Linked DNA regions of Sus scrofa. The protein of the gene in region 1 binds, or shares a complex with, the protein of each later gene. Links are inferred from orthologs where the notes say so. Each region holds a gene or a part of one and is shown in the gene's direction. Other genes may lie near its edges.

Region 1 (9,520 bases):
ATTTCCTCATTTATTAAACAGGCATGATATAAACGGGTAACTGTTCTCTGTTTTCTCCGTTTTTACTCTCCAGTGGTTAAAAACGGATTCCTGGCATAGATTCCCTTCTACTTTGCTTTTATTGGATATATGGTGAAATTTTAGAGTGTTTTCCTAAGATTTCCTGTAGCTCTCCAGCTAATCTTATCTCTTCTTGGTGTTCTCTTTTCTGTTCTTATCCTTTTGTGCAATATGATAGCATGCTATGTACTGGGTAAACAAAGTAAAATGCCCTCTCTCTGCATCCTACTTCCTTATCAACAAATGTAGATATTGGCCCACAAACCATAAAGTAATCTTATCCTAAGGTAGCAGGCCATGCTGGTAGAAAAGGTGTTCTTCAGCAGGGTAATGTATCATTGTCTTCTTACTGAAGTAAGTTTACATCTATTACATCAAGCTATGGCTACATGACTATGGAATTCAGATAGTTGGTAGCCTCTTAACAAGATTTATAAAATATATTTAAAATGCAGTGGGAGTTCTGTTGGTTCCACTGTGGCCCAACAGAATCATTGTCATTTCTGGAGTGCTGGGACACAGGTTTGATCCCTGGCCCAGCAAAGCAAGTTAAGGATCCGGTATTGCTGCAGCTGTAGTGTAGATCGCTCAAAACTCCCACTCAGATTTAATCCCTGGCCTGGGAACTCCATATGCCACGGAGTGGCCAAAAAAGAAAAATAAAATGCAGTGTATATTTGGATTTTGCTTTTAAAAAAAACCTAGTCTGATAATCAGTTGCCTTTTAATCGAGAAGTTTTCCCCCATTTATATTTATATGGTCAAGATTTAATCTGCCATCTTGTTTTCCCTTCTCTCTTTTGTTTTTCTCTTCCTTTCTTGCATTCCTTAGGGCTAATTAAATATTTTAGTATTTCATTTTATTTCATCTATTGACTTTGTAGCTCTACCCCTTTTCATTATCTTCTTCCTTATTTTAAGTAGTTGCTCTGTGTCTAACAATATGCATCCTTAACTCATCAGTCAACATTTACCTCCTCATACTTTACATTTCACACCTGATACATCATGCTTCCTACTTCACCCTTTCTCCTTCTTATCCCACAACTGATACTTTCCACGTTTTGCTTCATATTTCACCCTTAAAACATATTATAACATTGCAACTCCATTTACAAATCCTCCTTTTCTATCCTATTGTCATGTGTTTTTTTTTTTGTTTGTTTTTTTTTTTTTTGTCTTTTTTGTTGTTGTTGTTGTTGTTGTTGTTGCTATTTCTTGGGCCGCTCCCGTGGCATATGGAGGTTCCCAGGCTAGGGGTCCAATCGGAGCTGTAGCCACCGGCCTACGCCAGAGCCACAGCAACGCGGGATCCGAGCCGCGTCTACAACCTACACCACAGCTCACGGCAACACCGGATCGTTAACCCACTGAGCAAGGGCAGGGACCGAACCCGCAACCTCATGGTTCCTAGTCGGATTCGTTAACCACTGCGCCATGACGGGAACTCCTGTCATGTGTTTTATTTCTACATACATTATAAACCTCAGCTTACAGTGTTACTATTTTTGCTTTGAACAGTCATTTGTCTTTGATATCAATTATGTGAAGAATGAAAACACGGACTTTTATATTTATTTACTTATGTACCATACCTGGTGCTGTTTATTCCTTACAGTTGACGCAAATTTCACCTCATATCATTTCCCTTTGGTCTCTCTCTTTAGCATTTCTTATGGTTCAGATTTACTGGTGATGGATTCTCTCAGCTTAATCTTAATTGAAAATGTCTATTTCACTTTTTTTTTTTGCTCATTTTCTTTCAGCACTTTATTTTTTTTATTTTAAGCAGTTTCACATTGATGCCTAAGTATGGTTCTTTTTATCCTGCTTGTGAGTCACTGAACTTCTTGGATTTGCATGTTAAAGTTTTTCGTCAAATTTGGGAAGTTTTTTGACATGATTTCTTTAAATATTTTTCTCTGCCTCTATCTCATTCTCTTTCCCTTCTTGGACTATTATTACATGTATATTAAACCATTTCTTATTGTCCCATAGGTATCTGAGGCTCTGTTCATTTTCTTTTTTTCTTTGTTCTTTAAATTGGATAGATTCTGTTGACTTGTTACTTGGCTGGCTATTCTGTCACCTTCCATCTGTTAGGTTTTGCAGGGAATTCTTAATTTCAGTTACTGTATTTTTTAGTTCTAGAGTCTCAATTTTTTTTCTTTTTCTTTTTTCTTTTTATGGCCGCACCTGTGGCATATGGAGGTTCCTGGGCTAAGAGTCAAATTGGAGCTGCAGTTGCCAGCCTACACCACAGCTCATGGCAATGCTGGATCCTTAAACCCACTGAGTGAAGCCAGAGATTGAACCTGCATCCTCACAGACACTCCGTTGGGTTCTTCACCTGCTGAGAAACTCCTCTGTTTTTTTAATAGTTTACATTTTTCAGCTTTGATCCCTCTGTTGGCTAATTAAAACACTGTTTTCATTTAAGTCTGAATACATGTCTAATAGATGCATTGAGGTCTTTGCTTACTCTAACATAAGAACTATTTAAGATTTAGTTGTTGTGACTGCTTTTCTCTTTACTTTGAACCACATTTACCTCCTTCTTTATGTATCTAGTGATTTTTCGTTGAATATTGGACATTGCAGTAGATTATAGAGATATGGGTTCTTTCCCCTTTTCTTCTGAAGAGTGTTGGTTTATGCTTTTGGAAATTCAGTTACTTGTTTATCACTTTGGTCTTAGATTTTGTTTCTGTGGAAAGCCTATAGTATTTCCTAAGCCCTTCTAGCATGGTCAGACTTAATCTCTGAACTGTTTTCTCTGCAGACTTTGTCAGAACTTGATTTTAAGTTTTATCAAGGTAACTTACCAAATATGAATTGACCAAATCCTTTCTTAGTTTATCCTTATTGCCGTGGGAGGGGAAAGAGTAGGGCATGAAGATTTCTGATTTTTCTGTGAATTTTCTTTCTATATCAAGGATTGTATTATAGTTTAGTACTTAGTTCTGGCTAGTTTGTCATAATTGAGACTACAGTAGGTGTTTACTTTTTTAAGAAATGAAATTGTCAACTATGAGTTTCTCATGTGTTCTTTTAACTAAATTTAACTCTGGTAATTGCAATTAGTACTTAATTACTAGGTGAAAGATATGCTCCTTCTATCTGATGGAATGATTAAAGGTAGATTTTATTTATTAGCTGTTATAGGTTTCTTCCCATTTTCCATAAGATGTATGCTTAGTTCTCGCTATCATTTTACTTTCTCTGTGGCCCCAAAGAGGACTGGGAAAACTTGGCTTCAGATTAATGCCCATTGAATCAAGGGGGTAAAGACTTCGCTATTTTCTTCATCATGTGAAGATAAGCATGATATCCTGAACGAAGCTAAAAGCATTCTATGAAAACCCAAAGCAAGCATAGGGGAAATATTTACTGTCACAGCTGCCAGGGAAAATATAGCTTTAGGGAGTTCTCGTTGTGGCTCAGCAGTAACAAAACCTGCTAGTATCCACAAGGATGGGGGTTCAATCCTTGGCCTTGCTTAGCAGGTTAAGGATCCAGCGTTGCTGCAAGCTGTGGCATAGGTCACAGACATAGCTGCATTGCTGTGATTGTGGCATAGGCCAGCAGCTGCAGCTCTGATTCAGTCCCTAGCCTGGGAACTTCCATAGGCCGAAGGTGTGGCCCTAAAAAGACAAAAAAAGAAGGAAAACAAAATATAGCTTTAGGGAAATTTTTAGTAGCAGGAAATTGAAGTTCTTAATGAGAAGGGATATAGAGTAAATTTAGGGAAAGAAATTGTTGCTTTTCACTGTGGCCTAGAGGCAAAAGAACTAAATAGTTTGGTTTCAATTTTGGGGTTTTTTTCTTTTTTTTTTGTTTTTTAATTGTTAAGGTGATAAATTTATGTTTAATTGAGGGCTATAGACAGAATGGACAGGTTTAACTTTCATATAAATAGGTTTACAGAAAAAGCATCTCAATTCATAATGCATTGCTAGATATGAAGGACCAGGCTCAGTATTATTTTAAATGTGATTAAGCAATTTTAGTGTGTATTTGAATGAAATAGTAAATGTATTTTGTGAACCTAGAGGTTTTGGTTGTTGGGACAAAGAGTATTCATGTCACTTGTTACTGCGTTCAACCAGGAAGGTGAATTGATTGCTCTTAGGTCTTTAAACTTAAATAAGATAAAATTAACTTCCCTAGCCAGTGCATATTCATGTCATTAGTAGAGGCCAGCTTAAAGTAAATTAATGGAACGTCCATCATTTAATATGTCTATATCCTGATTAGGAGCCAGCTTTTGGCAAAAAGGAGGCCTATTTTTTCCCGAGTTACTCAGATTCATGTTACCTAGAATCTTCAGCCTTAACCAGGAATATTTAAAAAACTGAAATAATTCATGTTTTCTTTTTAGGGTTCTCCTTTAGATGTTCTTAAAGATGAAAGAGTTCAGTATTGGATTGAGAATTACAGAAATTTATTGGATGCCTGGAGGTTTTGGCACAAACGAGCTGAATTTGATATTCACAGGAGTAAGTTGGATCCCAGTTCTAAGCCTTTAGCACAGGTAAGTAAATTGTTTTGGAGAACATCAAACTGTAACATGTACCTAATATCCCAGCAAAAAATTAGAAATGTTTACAGTGTGTTATATAGAATAATTTGAGAGTTCACTTTAATACGTTATTATTAATAAACTCATCTTTCATTCATGTTGAATTCCCATTTATGTCTCTCTCCATCCCAGACTGCACTTTCGTTAATCTTGCTGGTTTTTTTCATCCTGCCACTTCCTAATAATCATCTCAGTGACTTGACCTTTAGTCTGACACAGAGCAAAGCACAGCCAGCCTATAAAATCTTAGGCAAACCTAAATCAATCCTAGGGCTGTCTGCTCTCCCATGTTTCCTAGTATGTTCCAAGCCCTTTTAGAATCTAAACTGTATGATCTTATAAATTCCACTTATGTATTGATTTTTTTCTGTACTGCTTATATGTAATAAGGCAGGAGTTGTTTCTTTAATAGTATATTCATATAAACCTATATGTTTAATTAAACACATGGAAATTTTTTTTCTTCTAGCAATAATTTAAAGACCGTGAGATCAACACACCACTGTGTGTGTGTATAAAACATAGATAAACACCAAGGATTTACTGTGTAACACAGGGAACATATTCAGTATCTTATAATAACATATAATGGAAAAGAATCTGAAAGAGAATATATATCTAACTGAATAACTTTACTGTATACCTAAAACTAACATACTATTGTAAATCAGCTATACTTCAATTAAAAAAAAACGAGATCAGTTATCACATAAAACACTTGACATGAGGTGGCTGTGTCTCAGTTCAGGCATTGAATAGCAGGTATATCCTCAATGTGAGCACTTGATGGTGCTATTTTCTTATTTTAGAAATTTGAAAAATTAGTGTTTATATTAAAACAACCTGAGTGTTAGTAGAATAGCATTATGTGATAATGTTTGTTACTGATCTATATGATAAGTGTTTAAAACCTAGGAATTCAATGTAAAAGTAAAATGAACAATCTCTATTGCTATTATTTTAAAGTTTTAACTATTTACTATTACAGGATCCCTTAATTCCTTTTTATCTTAGGAAATGAGTGTTTTCTTAGTAAGAAAATTTTGTGCAGGAAACTATACCATTGAACTTTGTATTAAAAGTCATATTGGGATATTTTGTAATGTCCAGTGTGAACTCTAAAGTCCTTGTTTTTCAAAAATGTTGGGAATTTGTGTTCCAAGTTTTTCTGCAGATGTCAGTGGTGTTAGGAAGAATATAGCTAAACAAAAGTAACAGAGAAGTACTCAAATAATGTAATTGCTAATTGGAAGTCTTAAATGAGAGCAAGTCATCTTAGCACATAAATTATTTTATAGAATTAAATTAAAATTTTTTTTTTCTTTTTAGGGCCACACCTGCAGCATATGGAAGTTCCTGGGCTAGGGGTCGAATTGGAGCTGCAGCTGCAGGTTTATACCACAGCCACAGCAATGCAGGATCTGAGCCACATCTGTGACCTACACCACAGCTTGTGGCAATTATGGATCCTTAATCCACTGAGCGAGGCCAGTGATCAAACTCACATCCTCACAGACACTATATCAGGTTCTTAACCTGCTGAGCCACAATGGGAACTCCTAAAAAATTTTACAAGCAATTTGTTAGGATCAGTCTTTGATTATTTAAAAATTTTTTTTAAGTTTCAATTATATTTATTCCTTCTTTCATTTGTTTTATAGGTGTTTGTGAGTTGCAATTTTTGTGGGAAGTCTATCTCCTATAGCTGTTCAACTGTGCCCCATCAGGGCAGAGGTTTTAGTCAGTATGGTGTCAGTGGATCACCAACGAAATCTAAAGTCACAAGTTGCCCTGGATGTCGAAAACCCCTTCCTCGATGTGCACTTTGCCTCATTAATATGGGAACACCTGTTTCTAGTTGTCCTGGTATGTCATGTTTCTGCAGTATACTTTTCTGCGCTGAAATTGTTTCTCCATAATTGATTTAATGTTATAAATAAAAGACACTCCAGCTTGAGTTTATATTATTTCTAAGAGCAAGCCACTTTGCTGGCTTGAAGGTTTTTATGTTCTCTATAATTTATAAAATCTACATTTAAAGTAAAATCTATATCCATCATATCTTAGGTAATCTCACAAATGCTAGCCAACTTAAAGTTTATAAGATGAGCTTAAATACTAAATAATCTTATACTATTTTCATATCACTTTTTCTAAGAGGAGCTCCCTCAAATTTTATGTTTAAAAGTCAGAATGGCCTCATTTAGTAACGAATACCTTGTATGCATAAAGAACTTTGGTAGTCTCAGAGCACTTTCACATTTTCTCCAATTTCTTCTTCAAAATCTACCTATGGCAGTACAGAAAGTGTTAACCTAGTGATCAGATACCTTTACTTCTGAGTTTTGGTGTTGCTTCTGCTACATTTGTCAGTTACTGTATAAATATGTGTATGTGTGTATTTAATCATGAGAGATAATAAGGAATATTGTATACTATTTAAAGTAAACATACAGAAGATTTTTGAGAATAATAGATAATTAAACGTAAGATACTTAGTGGCTAGAAATATTTTAGCTTTTATATAACTTGAAAATGATACTGTCACAAAAATTTTAATTAAAAACATTTGAAAATCTGGGACACTGGTAAAAAAATAATTAAAAAAGAACCAGATATGGGAGTTCCCATTGTGGCTTAGCAGAAACAAACCCCACTTAAAAAAACAAAAAAGAAAAGAAACAAACCCAGCTGATACCTCTGAGGATGTGGGCTCCAGACCTGGCCTTGCTCAGTGAGTAAAGGATCCAGTATAACCATGAGCTGTGGTGTTAGTCGCAGATATGGATCAGATTTGGCGTTGCTGTCGCTGTGGTATTAGGCTGACAGTTGCAGCTTTGATTTGACCCCTAGCCTGGGAACTTCCATATGCCACACCTGCAGCCCTTAAAAAAAAAAAAAGCAGATGTAGTATCAGAACTCCTCTTTTAGTTGTGACTCTGTGAATTGAGTCTGTGACACTGGTGACAACAGTCTCTTTAGTAATCTTTCATATGAGGTGCTGGACTGGGAGATCCTTGTTAGTTATGAAATTTTCTATTTCCACTCTGCAGCTGGTTCTTGTGAGTGGTCTATTTTATTGTTTCATTAGTATCTATGAAAGAGATTTGCTGGTATCATTAAGTTATTTTTTTTAAACAAATGCTGTGTGTAATATTTTCAAATGCACATGTTAGTTTTGATTTAAATTTTAATTGAAGATATTTTTATTTTTTATACTGCATGTTGATCACTTTTTTATGGCCTCAATACTAATAAATAGGAAATAACAATTTGGAATAAAAATCTGTACAGTGAAAGAAGAAGGAGGCAAAATATAGTATAAGTAAGTTCTTTGTGATCTGAGATACATGGAATTAGTTCAATTTAATTATTTATTTGGCTCCACTCATGCCACATTGAAGTTCGGAAGCCAGGGATTGAACCCATGCCACAGCAATGACCTGTGCCACAGCACTGACCATGCCAGATCCTTAACTGCTAGGCCACTACGGAATTCCAGAAATAGTTCAATTTAATGCATCTTTTGGATCATAAACCTCAGAAAACTGTAATGGCCAGAGTGCGCTTACTTTTTGCTAGATAATAGTTTTTCAATTTTTTTCTATTTTTGAAATGGGTGAGAAAAGATAAAAGCAATTTTCTAGAATTTGAAAATTAAATCATAAAACATTTTAAGTTTTATGTTATGGAGACTATTAATTTAATGAATATTCAACACCCAGTATATCATATCCTAGCATTTTCTCATATTTGCTTCAAAAAATTTTTTCTAAATTTGCTTCAGTAATAATTCCTTAAATTGATTTGAGTACTTGTTTAAGGCACTAAGTTAAGGCTGACGTACCAGACGTCCTCATGGAGCTCATGGTATACGATGAGCATGGATACCTAACATAAAATGAGATGTTATATTTTCTAGAAAATAGGTACTAGTCCAGAATCTCTTATTTACCATTCCAAAATCTCTTAAAGATCTGAAAAGCCAAAGTTTTGGTTGGCTTTTTTGTTTTTAATGAATTTACCATAATCTCATTTGGTAAAAAATAGCTGTTCAGAATTGACATGAGGTTATTGCAATCTTTCTCTTATTTGTGAACATTCACATGCTTCCCTGCAGAAACACTAATATGTTAATTACAGGATGCTGTTCAGACTTTTCCTGGAGGTGTTATATAATATTTGTTCATTATTTTTCCAGAACCCCAAAATATTCCAAATTCTGAAACATATTTAGCTCTGTGAGGTAAATGAGATAATATAAGAAGACAGTATTGTGAATTTTGAAAGAGGGTAACATACCTTTTCTCTGAATAATGTCTGGGAAACTTCAAAAAGAAGATGCCATTTTAAGCTGGTCCTTTAAAGTTTGGTAGATTTAAATATGTGAATATTTTAGAGAAGCCTGTCAGGTTGTAGAAAAAGAGTAAAAAGCATGAACTAGGGTAAAAAGTTAGTGAAAATGATAAATATAGAGAGGGTATGGGAACTACCAAATGTACTGATGTGACGTGGCCTAGGAAACAGACTCATAGGAAACAGTGTAGGAAAATTAGGGGAGCCTGTGTATGATCTTTAAAGACCATTACTCAGCCAATTACAAAATAATTAACTTTCCTATTTCTTTTTTTTTTTTTTTGGTAAAATCAGAAGAATCTGAATTCCAAAATAAAATAGGACCTAATAGAAATCAAATACTGGCTCATGGCAGTTTAAAGATACAGGTGTATAAACCCCTGTGGTGCTTTACCTCCCTCCATCCATCATGTTTTATGATCCAAATAGCCAGGATTTTCATAAGCTTATTTAACTGAGGGTTGCGAATTTTTACATTCCCTTGTACTTTGAAGCTTGAAGCTCTACTGAAATTGTCACATT
Region 2 (10,078 bases), on another chromosome or scaffold:
CCATGTTCTGGGCACTTAGGCCCCTCCCCTCGTCTCTTTGCTTCTGTGATTTCTGTCTCTCTGCCCCTTTGCTCTACATGCTCCATGAGGGGGACCAGCTGTGTCTGGATTGCTCACCTTTGTATCCCAGCACCCAGCATGAGGTTGGCACCCTATAGTGTTTGCTTCCTGAGGAAGGGATGAATGCCTGCCTGGAGTTGGGAGCTGGGACATCCTTCCCACCTTGGCTGCTGTGGTCCCACAGTCCGGTGGCTTCATGTCTCCCCAGGAGGCCATCCAGCTGGATGGGGAGATCCTCTTCTCGCTGCTCCAGAAGGTGTCTCCTGTGGCCCACAAGCACCTCAGCCAGCAGAAGATTGACCCCTTGCTCTACATGACAGAGTGGTTCATGTGTGCCTTCGCCCGCACCTTACCCTGGAGCTCCGTGCTGCGTGTCTGGGACATGTTCTTCTGCGAAGGTACCTCTGTCCCTAGTCCAGCCCATGAGGGCCTCTATTTCTAGAGAAACTCCCTAAAGGGCCCCTCGCACTCACTGCTGGCTCTCCATGCAGGAGTCAAGATCATCTTCCGGGTGGGGTTGGTGCTGCTGAAGCATGCGCTGGGCTCCCCCGAGAAGCTCAAAGCCTGCCAGGGCCAGTACGAGACCATTGAGCGGCTGAGGAGCCTCAGCCCCAAGATCATGGAGGAGGCCTTCCTGGTCCAGGAGGTACAGTCCACATCTTCCCCCCACCACTGGGAGGGAGGGGAAGACATGAGGGTCTTTTGAGGGCCTGGTAGCCCTCTGCCCCCAAGGCCTGGTGCTCAGCAGCCCAGGATTGTGCACAGATCTCATCCTTCTGTCTGCATGAGAAGAACAGGCACAGAGAGGCCTAGGTCTTCAGGAATATGAGTAGATGCAGCTCATCACCCCCCTTCCTCCCTGGCTCCATAACCATGGTTTTGCTTTATTTTCCCTTTTTTTTCTTTCCATTGTGGATTTGTATCTGGGGCTGAAATGGGGTGACACATAGTTAGGCAAGTAGACTCAAGAGTTGTGGGGAGTTTTCTCCTCTGAGGCAGTGAGTATAAAACTCCTGGCTCACCTGGCACTCAGGGACTTTTGACCACCACTACTTTAGTGACCAGGGCTGGGACAGCTGAGGGAGAGCAGGGGCCCAGGCTGGGGGGCAGAAGGGGAAGGTTCTTCTTCCTGGTGCCCACCTGCCTGTCACCACCCCTACAGGTGGTAGAGTTGTCAGTGACAGAGCGCCAGATTGAGCGCGAGCACCTCATCCAGCTGCGGCGCTGGCAGGAGACCCGGGGTGAACTGCAGTGCCACTCGTCGCCCAGGCTGCACGGCGCCAAGGCCATCCTGGAGGCAGAGCCTGGCCCATGGCCCACCTTGCAGCCTTCACCATCCATCCGCCTGCCTCCGGACGCCCCCCTCCCTGGCTCCAAAGGCAAGTCCAAGCCATCCAAGCAGGTCCAGAAGGAGCAGAAGGAACAGCGGAAGCAGGCGAAGGCGAGTGGGCAGCCAGACAAGCCCACAACCACAAGTCAAGCCAAAGTGGTGGCCGCTGCTGGAGATGCATGTCCCCCACAGGATGTGCCCTCGAAGGACCCAGGCCACCAGGACCCAGCCCCTCAAGACTCAGCTCCCCAGGACACAGCCCACCACCGCTCCCAGGAGAGCCTGACATCCCAGGAGAGTGAGGACACCTACTTGTAACCATGGCAGCTCAGGCCCCGGGGCTGGGGTCTCCACACACCTATACAGTACATGGACTGACTTCAGGGCCTGCCCACCCTCTGAGGGCCCGGTCGCCTGGTCGGCAGGGAGTCTGGCTGGCCCAGCACAGATTCTGCCTGAGCCTCCTTATTTATTTTCTCCAGAGTGGAGCTTGGGCAGGCCCAGCTGGGGCAGGCAGAAGTGGGTGAGGCCTTGTTTGGCCCCCTCCTCCTGGAGGCATGTTCTCCGGGACCAGGGCACTGATGTGAGGGGAGAGGGAGGGATAAAGGGTGGGGTGCTCTTTGTGTAAAATAGAAACATGGTTTTGTACAGAAATAAACAGGCTTGTGTAGAGAGCTGGTGTGCAGCTAGGGACTGGAGAGGGGGGTCTGTTCCCCGACCCCCGCTGTGCTCAGCATTCTTCTCCATACCCTGCAGAGGCCCCATCCTGGTCCTAGTGCAGCACTAGAGCCTTTCTGGGAAGTACCTTTGCCAGAGGGGAGGCCAAATCTAGGGCCCGCTCCTATTCCTGGCCCCTGTATCCTCTTATCCTGTCCCCTCTGACCCATGTTCACCATCTGCCATGGATGAGGGTCACTAGTGCTGGGGCAGAGCAGAGCCTGCTCCCCAGGCCTTGATCCCTGCCCATCACCGAAGGGGAGGGGTTCCTTAGGGAGGTCCTTTTAAGGGTCTTCCTCTTCTAAGGTCTAGCCTGGATGCTATTTTGGACCCCAATAAGGTAATGAGTATTCATTCTGGGTTGGGTGCTGGTGCCAAGAGTGAGGGATCATGAATGCCCTCACATGCTCATCCCAGGCCTCCATCAAAAGCAAAGGGGTGTGGGGCCAAATCTGTATCTTTGATGAAAGGCTACCTGCCATGTAGCATATGCCAGGCTGGGCTGGTTGTGTCACATGCCTGATCAGGTAGGTTTTATTATTGTCCCCCTTTTATGGATAAGGAAACAGGAGCTAAGTGGGAAAAATGAAGCTGATCCAGATTTGTACCCAGAGCCCCCAACTACCTCTCCTGACTTTGCCATTGAAGGCCCAAGTTGGCAGTAGTGTCATAGCTGATGACTGGCAAGGGTGAGGACAGGGTGTCCCTGGGAGAGGCCCCCCTTCTGCTGAGGAAGCAGCTTTTCCAGTCAAACAATAGTGACTGTTCTTGGCTGGCCACCAAGCTGGGCTGGGCAATGGGGGAGCAGGGAGGCAGGACTAGAGCCTCCCTGGGAGCTTTTAAGCATCTCAGGGCCTCAGCCTGGAACATCTTGTCCTGGTACAGCTGGGGATACTGAGGCCTGAGGAGGTCAAGGGTCACATGAATCTGTCAGGGCAAACCACACCCTTCCTACCTCCTGCCCCTTACCCCTGTGGCTTCCTACCCCATGTACACCTGCCGTCAACCAGATGAGGGGCTCAGCCTCCTGAGGACACCTCCCACCCCCTGGCCCTCTAGGGGTCTGGCCAGGATGTGGTGGCTGCAGTGTTCCAGCAGAACCCACCAAACTGGTGAGTCCAGGGAGGGAAGGTGCTGCCCCACTACTAGCTGCGTGCAATTGCCGCCACCCCCCACCCCACGCCCGCCCGCCCCAGCAGGTAGGAGGCCTGCTCAGGCCTGCTGGGACCCAATCAGGCCTGAGGCCTGCTTTAACCTGCTTGGTTCAAAGCCTTGGATCTGAGGCCTGAGGATGTGCAGGCCAGGCAAGGGCCCCTGGAACATGTCCCATCCTGCTGGGAAACCAACCTAGGTGTGCTGATGTCTGCTCAGCACTGGGGTCTTTGCAAACCTGAGAGGCCTGAGCAGACCCCAGCCCTAATGTTGAAATGAACCCAAGGTGGCACTAACAAGCTTCAGATCTGGGGGCCTCCTTGGACATGAAACAAGCTTAAATGTGCTCAGGCCCAAGTTCTAATGACTGTAGGCTTTTAAGTCTGACTACACACTGGGCTCTGGATGCATGGCCCTGCCCCCCAAAGTTTGAGCTTTGGGCATTCCTGTCCCAAATACTTAAGTCTTAAGCCTCAAATGTTAGTCCAGACTACCTTCAGCTCCCTACCCTACAGTGTATTGCTCAGAGGTAGCTGGGGCCCTCCCCATCTTTGATTCTGGTGGGGAGCCTTCTACTCTGAAAGGTGGGTGAGAGGAACAGATGTGGGGACCACCAAGTTCAGGTTGGGTTTCATCTTGTTAGCCCACTCACAGGGCTCACAAAGCTTGGAGGGGTTTGTATCAGTGCTATCCTGGGCTGTGGAACTTTTTTCACTGCCACCCCAGCCAGTTCTGGTGGCCCTGCCTCATGCTAAGCCATCAGAGGAAGGAGAGGGAAAGGTGCCAGGACCCTTTATTGGGACAGAACAACAACGTCTCCTAGGTTGCACAGTGGACCCCTACCCACCCATGTTTCAAGGATTTGGGAGCAGTGTTCTGGTCACAGCCGAGCCCCGGTTCATCTTGTGGCCCTCCCAAGCCTTGGTGAACTTAATCAGAAGGCCCTTAGTGCAGAAAAGACCCCAAGCCTCCCCGGGCTCTCCGGAGCAGCTGCGGGAGTCCTGCGGAAAGGGCGGAGCCCGGAGTGGGGGAGAGGCATGGGCGGGGCCTGGAGGACGCGACGGGGGTGGGGTTAGGTGGTGATTCCGGAGCCAATGCCGAAGGGGCGGGGCCATAAGGGGCGGAGTGAGTCTCTAGCGTTACAAGGAGGCGTGGCCACCCTGGATTGGCCCCCAGTCCTGCGCGGCGTGGCCGTCAGGGAGCTGGCGTGGCTGGCGGCTAGGACTCTGCGGCGCAGCGGCTCCTTTAAGCACCTCCCGGCACCGCCCCCGCCGCCCCGCCCCCGGCACGGCCTGGGTCTGTTTGGCCGTGGGGTCGGGTCCGCGCGGACCGCGATGGAGCTGCACATCCTAGAGCACCGGGTGCGGGTGCTGAGCCTCGCCCGGCCCGGTCTCTGGCTCTACACTCACCCACTCATCAAGCTGCTCTTCCTGCCCCGCCGAAGCCGGTGCGCGTCCGGGTCCGGGCACAGAGGGGGGTGGGCTGCACTGTCACTCTGAGATGGGATCGGGAGATTAGGACCTCCGCGGGGCCAGCGGGAGCAGACAGGGAGAGCGCTCCCCGCCCCCCGCTCCCCACCGCCGCCATCCGGCCTGGGCCTACCCTCCCTGGGACCGCCGCCTATCCGGCTCGTGAGGCCCCCTCACAGAGCTTGTTAAGGCGCAGACAGCCTGGGATGGTCAGTGCTTAACTCCTAGTGGTTTCACATGGGGGCATTTCTTCCTGGCAACTTCGGAGAACTTTTTCCAGCTGCCTCTCATCGGGTCAGAGGGGCTGGTCTAAGGGGGCTCGGACGCCCGGGACTGCCGCCTTGGGTGAGCCTCTCCTTCCTCTTGGAATGCTGGGCAGGGGCTTCTGCAGAGATCTGGGCGGAGGAAAACGGTTCGCAATTCTGGAGATGGGGCCCACGCCCCACTGTTCTGGGGAGGAAATTGAGTCTGGAGGGGGCAGGGAGACGCCCAGCCGGGGTGGGGGGTGTCTGCCCGCCCCCTCCGCCCACCCAGGCTGAAGATGCTCCCTGCCCCCACCCAGGTGCAAATTCTTCAGCCTGACGGAGACCCCTGAGGATTACACGCTCATGGTGGACGAGGAGGGCTTCAAAGGTGGGGACTGGGCTGGGGAGGGTGAGTAGGGGAAGGAGGTTGTCCTCCCCTTTTTGCAGGATTCTAAGAGAATGCTAGGATCTAATGTACCAAGAGTTGGGGCCCTGAAGGCAGATGATCTGGGTTCCAGTCCATTTCCACTACTCACTGGCTGTGTGCCCTTGATCAAGTCACTTCCCCTCTCTGAGTTGTTTATTTCGTTTTATGTAAAATGGATATAGTTACGGTTCTGATCTATTTGGCCCCATGAGGGTTTTATAAATGGGGCAGTGTGTAAAGGGCATTTAGCAGCCACAGACCAGCAGCAGGGCCTCAGTTACAGCTCTGGGGCAAGAATCAGGCTTCTGTGGCTGTTCTTGCCCCCCACCCCATTATTTCCCCTTGGGCTTCACTCCCTGGTGTGGGTCACTCCCTCCCTGACTGGTCTGGGAACTCCGAGAGTCTGAGGGTTGGGGAAGGAATGCAGGAGCCGGCAGCCAGCCCAGGGCAGGATCCTACGGGGCCTCCTAGCTGTGTTTGGGCGATTAGCAGCCACCTTGGCTGTGGCCCATGTGCTGGACTGGACACCAGCCTGGTCCCTCCCTGATCCCTGGAGCTGATATCTGGCTTCTCTCCTGCCAGCTTGACCCATCCTTACAGGCCTGGAGTCTCTGGCCAGCCAGCTGGGGCTCCCTCCCTCCCCTACAGGGCTACTTAGTTTCCCTATTTATGCTGCGGAAAAGTCTGGGTCTGCTAACGAGGAAGGCATCTCCCAGCCAACTTGGACTGCTGGCTCCCCCTGGTGGTACCACATGGTGTAAGGCCTCTGATACTCAGTGCATACATACTCAGTTTCTGTAGGAGAAACAGGCTCTCAGAAGTTAAATCATTTGCCACAGGTCAACAGAAAGTAAATGATGAAGCTGGGATTAAAACCCAGGTCTGTCTGAATTTTGAGCTCCAATTTTATTTTATTATTTTATTTTTTACCTTTTCTAGGGCCACTCCCGCAGCATATGGAAGTTCCCAGGCTAGGGGTCTAATCAGAGCTGTAGCCACCAGCCTGCGCCAGAGCCACAGCAACTCAGGATCTGAGCCGCGTCTGCAAACTATGCCACAGCTCACAGCAACGCCAGATTCTTAACCCACAGAGCAAGGCCAGGAATCGAACCTGCAACCTCATGGTTCCTAATCAGATTCATTAACCACTGTGCCACGACGGGAACTCCAAGCTTCCATTTTAACTGGGAAGTTTCAATCCCTGACAGGCCAACACCCAAAGCACTTCTCAGTCTTTGCATATATGCAGGTCTCAGGAGCAGAACTTGGGGGAGGAGGACAGCTCTATTTTCCAGAGTGGACCTTACCTTGGTAGAGCCCTCCAAAGCGCAGACAGGGAAACTGAGGCCAGGGGCCAGCCCTACAGGCCCTGACTGGGTGTGTCCCCCTGCCCCACAGAGCTGCCCACGTCTGAGTTCCTACAAGTGGCCGAGGCCACGTGGCTAGTGCTGAATGTGTCATCCCACAGCGGCACAGCAGTGCAGGCTGCTGGGGTCACCAAGATTGCCCGCTCAGTAATTGCACCGCTGGCTGAGCACCACGTGTCCGTGCTGATGCTGTCCACCTACCAGACAGACTTCATCCTGGTGAGTTTCCTGCAGGTGCTGGGGCAAGGCAGGGTGGACACGGGTGCCTGGGGACCCGTGTATTGTGTCATCTTTGTGGCCCAGGTGCGGGAGCAGGACCTATCCGTGGTGATCCACACACTGGCCCAGGAATTTGATATCTACCGAGAGGTGGGCGGGGAGCCTGTTCCTGTTGCCAGGGATGATTCCAGCAACGGCTTTCCCCGTGCCCAGCATGGTGAGGGTCACCTCTGACACCCAGGCCTGGTGGGGGCTCCTCTTCCCACTGGGGCCCTTCCCTTTGTGGGTGGGTCTGTGGGCTTGGGGAGACCAGCTGACACTGACCCCCTCACAAGATAGGGAGACACGGCAGGGAAACTAAGGCAGATTCCGGTATGTAGCAAGTGACCCTACACCTAGCCCAGGCCCCCTTTCTGGCTGGCCACCAGGGGGCACTCCAGCCCACAGTCTCCCTTTCACCCACCACCACCTGCTCCCTGAGCAGGGCCCAGCCCCACAGTGCATCCCATCCAGAGCCCACAGAACCGCTTCTGTGTCCTCACGCTGGACCCTGAGACACTGCCAGCCATCGCCACCACCCTCATCGATGTCCTCTTCTACTCGCACAGGTGGGCCTTGTTTGTCTCTTTGATCTCACAGCTTGTTCCCTACGCTTTGTCCCACCACCTTCCACCAGTCCCTTGGCTCTGCAGTGCTGTACCCTGTTCCATGTCTGGGGTTCCTGGCAGCCTGCAGTGCCCACAGGCCCTTCACTGAGGTTCAGGCAAGGTCCTGGTGCTGCAGCTGGAGCCCTTCCCTTTGGGGTGGGCAGAGCTACTCCTGAAGTGTGCCCTGGTCAGGCCCTGTGGTCCTGGGATCCTGCATCTTTGGCACAAGTAGGTTCATCCTCCTCCCCCATCCCTACCCATGGCATGGGGAGGAAAGTGGCTCAGGGACATGAGCATCTTCCCAGGGCCACCTGTGCCAGCCCCTTCCCAGGGGTCTAGAGGCCCACTGGGCAGAGAGGGAGAGGGAAGAGTGCCTGAGCCTCCTATCCCTTCCCAGTGGCCCTAAGGAGGCAGCCTCTGGCAGTCCTGGATCCAGCTCCATCACCTTCTTTGCTTTCTCCCTCATCGAGGGCTACATCTCCATTGTCATGGATGCTGAGACACAGAAAAAGTACGTGACCCCTGACCCCAGGTGGGCCACAGACCCTAAGCCAGTCCCTAAGAGGAAGGAGGTGGAACATCAGACTCCAAGGTCATCAGGCTGATCTGCTCTGGGGGCTCACAGTGGGGCAAGGAAGAGACAGGGTACCCTGCCCACCACCCCTGCCTCCCCAGGTTCCCCAGTGACCTGCTGCTGACCAGCTCCTCGGGGGAGCTGTGGAGGATGGTGCGCATCGGCGGACAGCCCCTGGGCTTTGGTGAGGGCTGCACCTTGTGTGTCGGGGGCTTGGGAAGGGCCAGGAGGGGGGCATCAGGGTGATCCACATGGACCCCCTCCTCCACCCTCAGATGAGTGTGGGATCGTGGCCCAGATTGCAGGTCCCCTGGCTGCGGCTGACATCTCTGCCTACTACATCAGTACCTTCAACTTCGACCATGCCTTGGTGAGCACCACCGTCTGGGGCCAGGGCTCCTGCAGGGACACTGAGGCCCAGGAGGGGGCCCAGGAGGTGGTCCCAGTCAGGCCAGGAAGTTGAGCAGCCGTGACACCTTCCTCTGTCCACCTGCCCGCAGGTGCCCGAGGACGGCATCAGCAGTGCTATCGAGGTCCTCCAGCGCCGGCAGGAGGGCCTGGGCTCCTGAGCAGCAGCCTCCGGCCTCTCCCCTTGCCCTCAGGCTTCCAGAGATTTCTCGAATATTTCCTCAAGCTCTGGGACATTCCTGCTGGGGGATCCCTCCTTCTGCTCTGTGTATATAAGCTGTGGGCAGAGCACCGGCTCTCACGTGGACACACGTGTCTGCCCCCCACAGGGGAATACGGTGCTCAGGGCTTCCTCCAGGAAGCCCTCAACCCATCACTCCCTGCTGGGCCTCGGCGTTTGCACATTCCCTGCCTGAGGCCCAAGCCTTCCCCCTTTCGGTAGCCCCGTCTGGCTGGCTGCTCCTGGACAGGGCCCTGATCTCCGTTCTGCCTCGGGCTGGGGGTTGCCTTCCCTGGCCAGGTGAGTTCTGACAAGTGCCTCCCCTTCCTGGGACCACCAGAAGTATTTTTACATCTCTCTCTCTCTTCCTTTTTTTATCAACTTGTTAATAAAGAGCTTGTAGTGAGTGGGCTGGGCTGTGGTCTTTGGGGTTGTTCAAGCCTTGGCCACAGCTACTTTGCTGCCCCTGGGGGCCCCTCTGCCTGAGATCCTGGACTCTCCCTGTGCAGCTGGCTCAGGCCGGGATCGCCTCACCTCCCACCATTCTCACCTCCAGAGCGTAGGTGAACCATTGCCATTCTCCAGATGAAGGACCAGAGGTGGGAGGTGGAGTGACTTAGCCAGGGTCCTATGGTTCCTGTCAGGGCTGCCTGGCTCTGGGGTCCAGTCACTTTCTTCATTTCTTGCTGCTTTTGAATAGTCTACACGGTTCAGAACAGGGGCAGAGGCTCCTGGACCTTCCTGCTTGGAGCTCCCCCAGGCTCCTTGCCACCTTGGGTGTGGCTGGCCTGTTGCAAAACACCCTTAAGGGGGGCCCCAAAGCACCTTTTCTCCAGGCTGCTGCCTGCTTTCTTTTGGACCACACCTGAGTTCTGGCTGTCCCTCACAGGAGACTGATCAGTTCTTGCCACCAGAGCTCCCACTGGAGCAGTGGTAGGAGGGAGCCAGGCAGAGCGGGGACCTGGGAGCCCACATGCTGGGCTTCACCTGGCTGGGAGGACAGGACAAGGACCTGGAGGCCACCTGGAGCCCACTCTTCCTGTGATGGCCGCATGCTGGGGTCAGAGGCTCCACACATCTGGGCCCAGGTTTCCTGCCACAGAGGGGCCGCCTCCCCGCTCTGTGAGCTGGGACTCCACCGTGGCCCAAGGGGGCCCCACAGACGCTGGGGAGGTTATCAGGTGCCCTCAGCCTAGGCCCGCCTGTGCCCAGGAAGGGAAGAAGGGTGTGACTTCGGCGTACT

The links.
Region 2: the proteins of MIOS (region 1) and CASTOR1 are in contact, whole or in part, in a cryo-EM structure (PDB 9LVK), measured with the Homo sapiens proteins. The link is inferred for Sus scrofa from reciprocal best matches to the Homo sapiens genes MIOS and CASTOR1. Residues at the interface, in NP_001357005.1 of Homo sapiens: Ala83, Asn84, Val109, Pro110, Lys111, His112, Ala113, Arg114, Asp134, Lys135, His136, Arg137, Asn184; in NP_001032755.1 of Homo sapiens: Val94, Ser116, Thr117, Tyr118, Gln119, Thr120, Asp121, Thr188, Tyr236, Leu255, Thr256, Ser257, Ser258, Ala295, Tyr296.

The regions. Positions count from the first base shown.
Region 1 is NC_010451.4:77,876,120-77,885,639, forward strand, and holds part of MIOS (WD repeat-containing protein mio), read left to right. Parts: intron 1-4,441; coding exon 4,442-4,594; intron 4,595-6,303; coding exon 6,304-6,508; intron 6,509-9,520. UniProt on the Homo sapiens protein: As a component of the GATOR2 complex, functions as an activator of the amino acid-sensing branch of the mTORC1 signaling pathway. The GATOR2 complex indirectly activates mTORC1 through the inhibition of the GATOR1 subcomplex.
Region 2 is NC_010456.5:47,261,073-47,271,150, reverse strand, and holds CASTOR1 (GATS-like protein 3), read left to right. Parts: upstream 1-4,421; 5' UTR 4,422-4,593; coding exon 4,594-4,706; intron 4,707-4,720; exon of another isoform or gene 4,721-5,073; intron 5,074-5,290; coding exon 5,291-5,361; intron 5,362-6,798; coding exon 6,799-7,203; intron 7,204-7,470; coding exon 7,471-7,594; exon of another isoform or gene 7,595-7,861; intron 7,862-8,030; coding exon 8,031-8,144; intron 8,145-8,308; coding exon 8,309-8,391; intron 8,392-8,482; coding exon 8,483-8,577; intron 8,578-8,707; coding exon 8,708-8,776; 3' UTR 8,777-9,246; downstream 9,247-10,078. Other genes in the region: TBC1D10A (TBC1 domain family member 10A), read left to right, coding at 269-458, 552-706, 1,223-1,708. UniProt on the Homo sapiens protein: Functions as an intracellular arginine sensor within the amino acid-sensing branch of the TORC1 signaling pathway. As a homodimer or a heterodimer with CASTOR2, binds and inhibits the GATOR subcomplex GATOR2 and thereby mTORC1.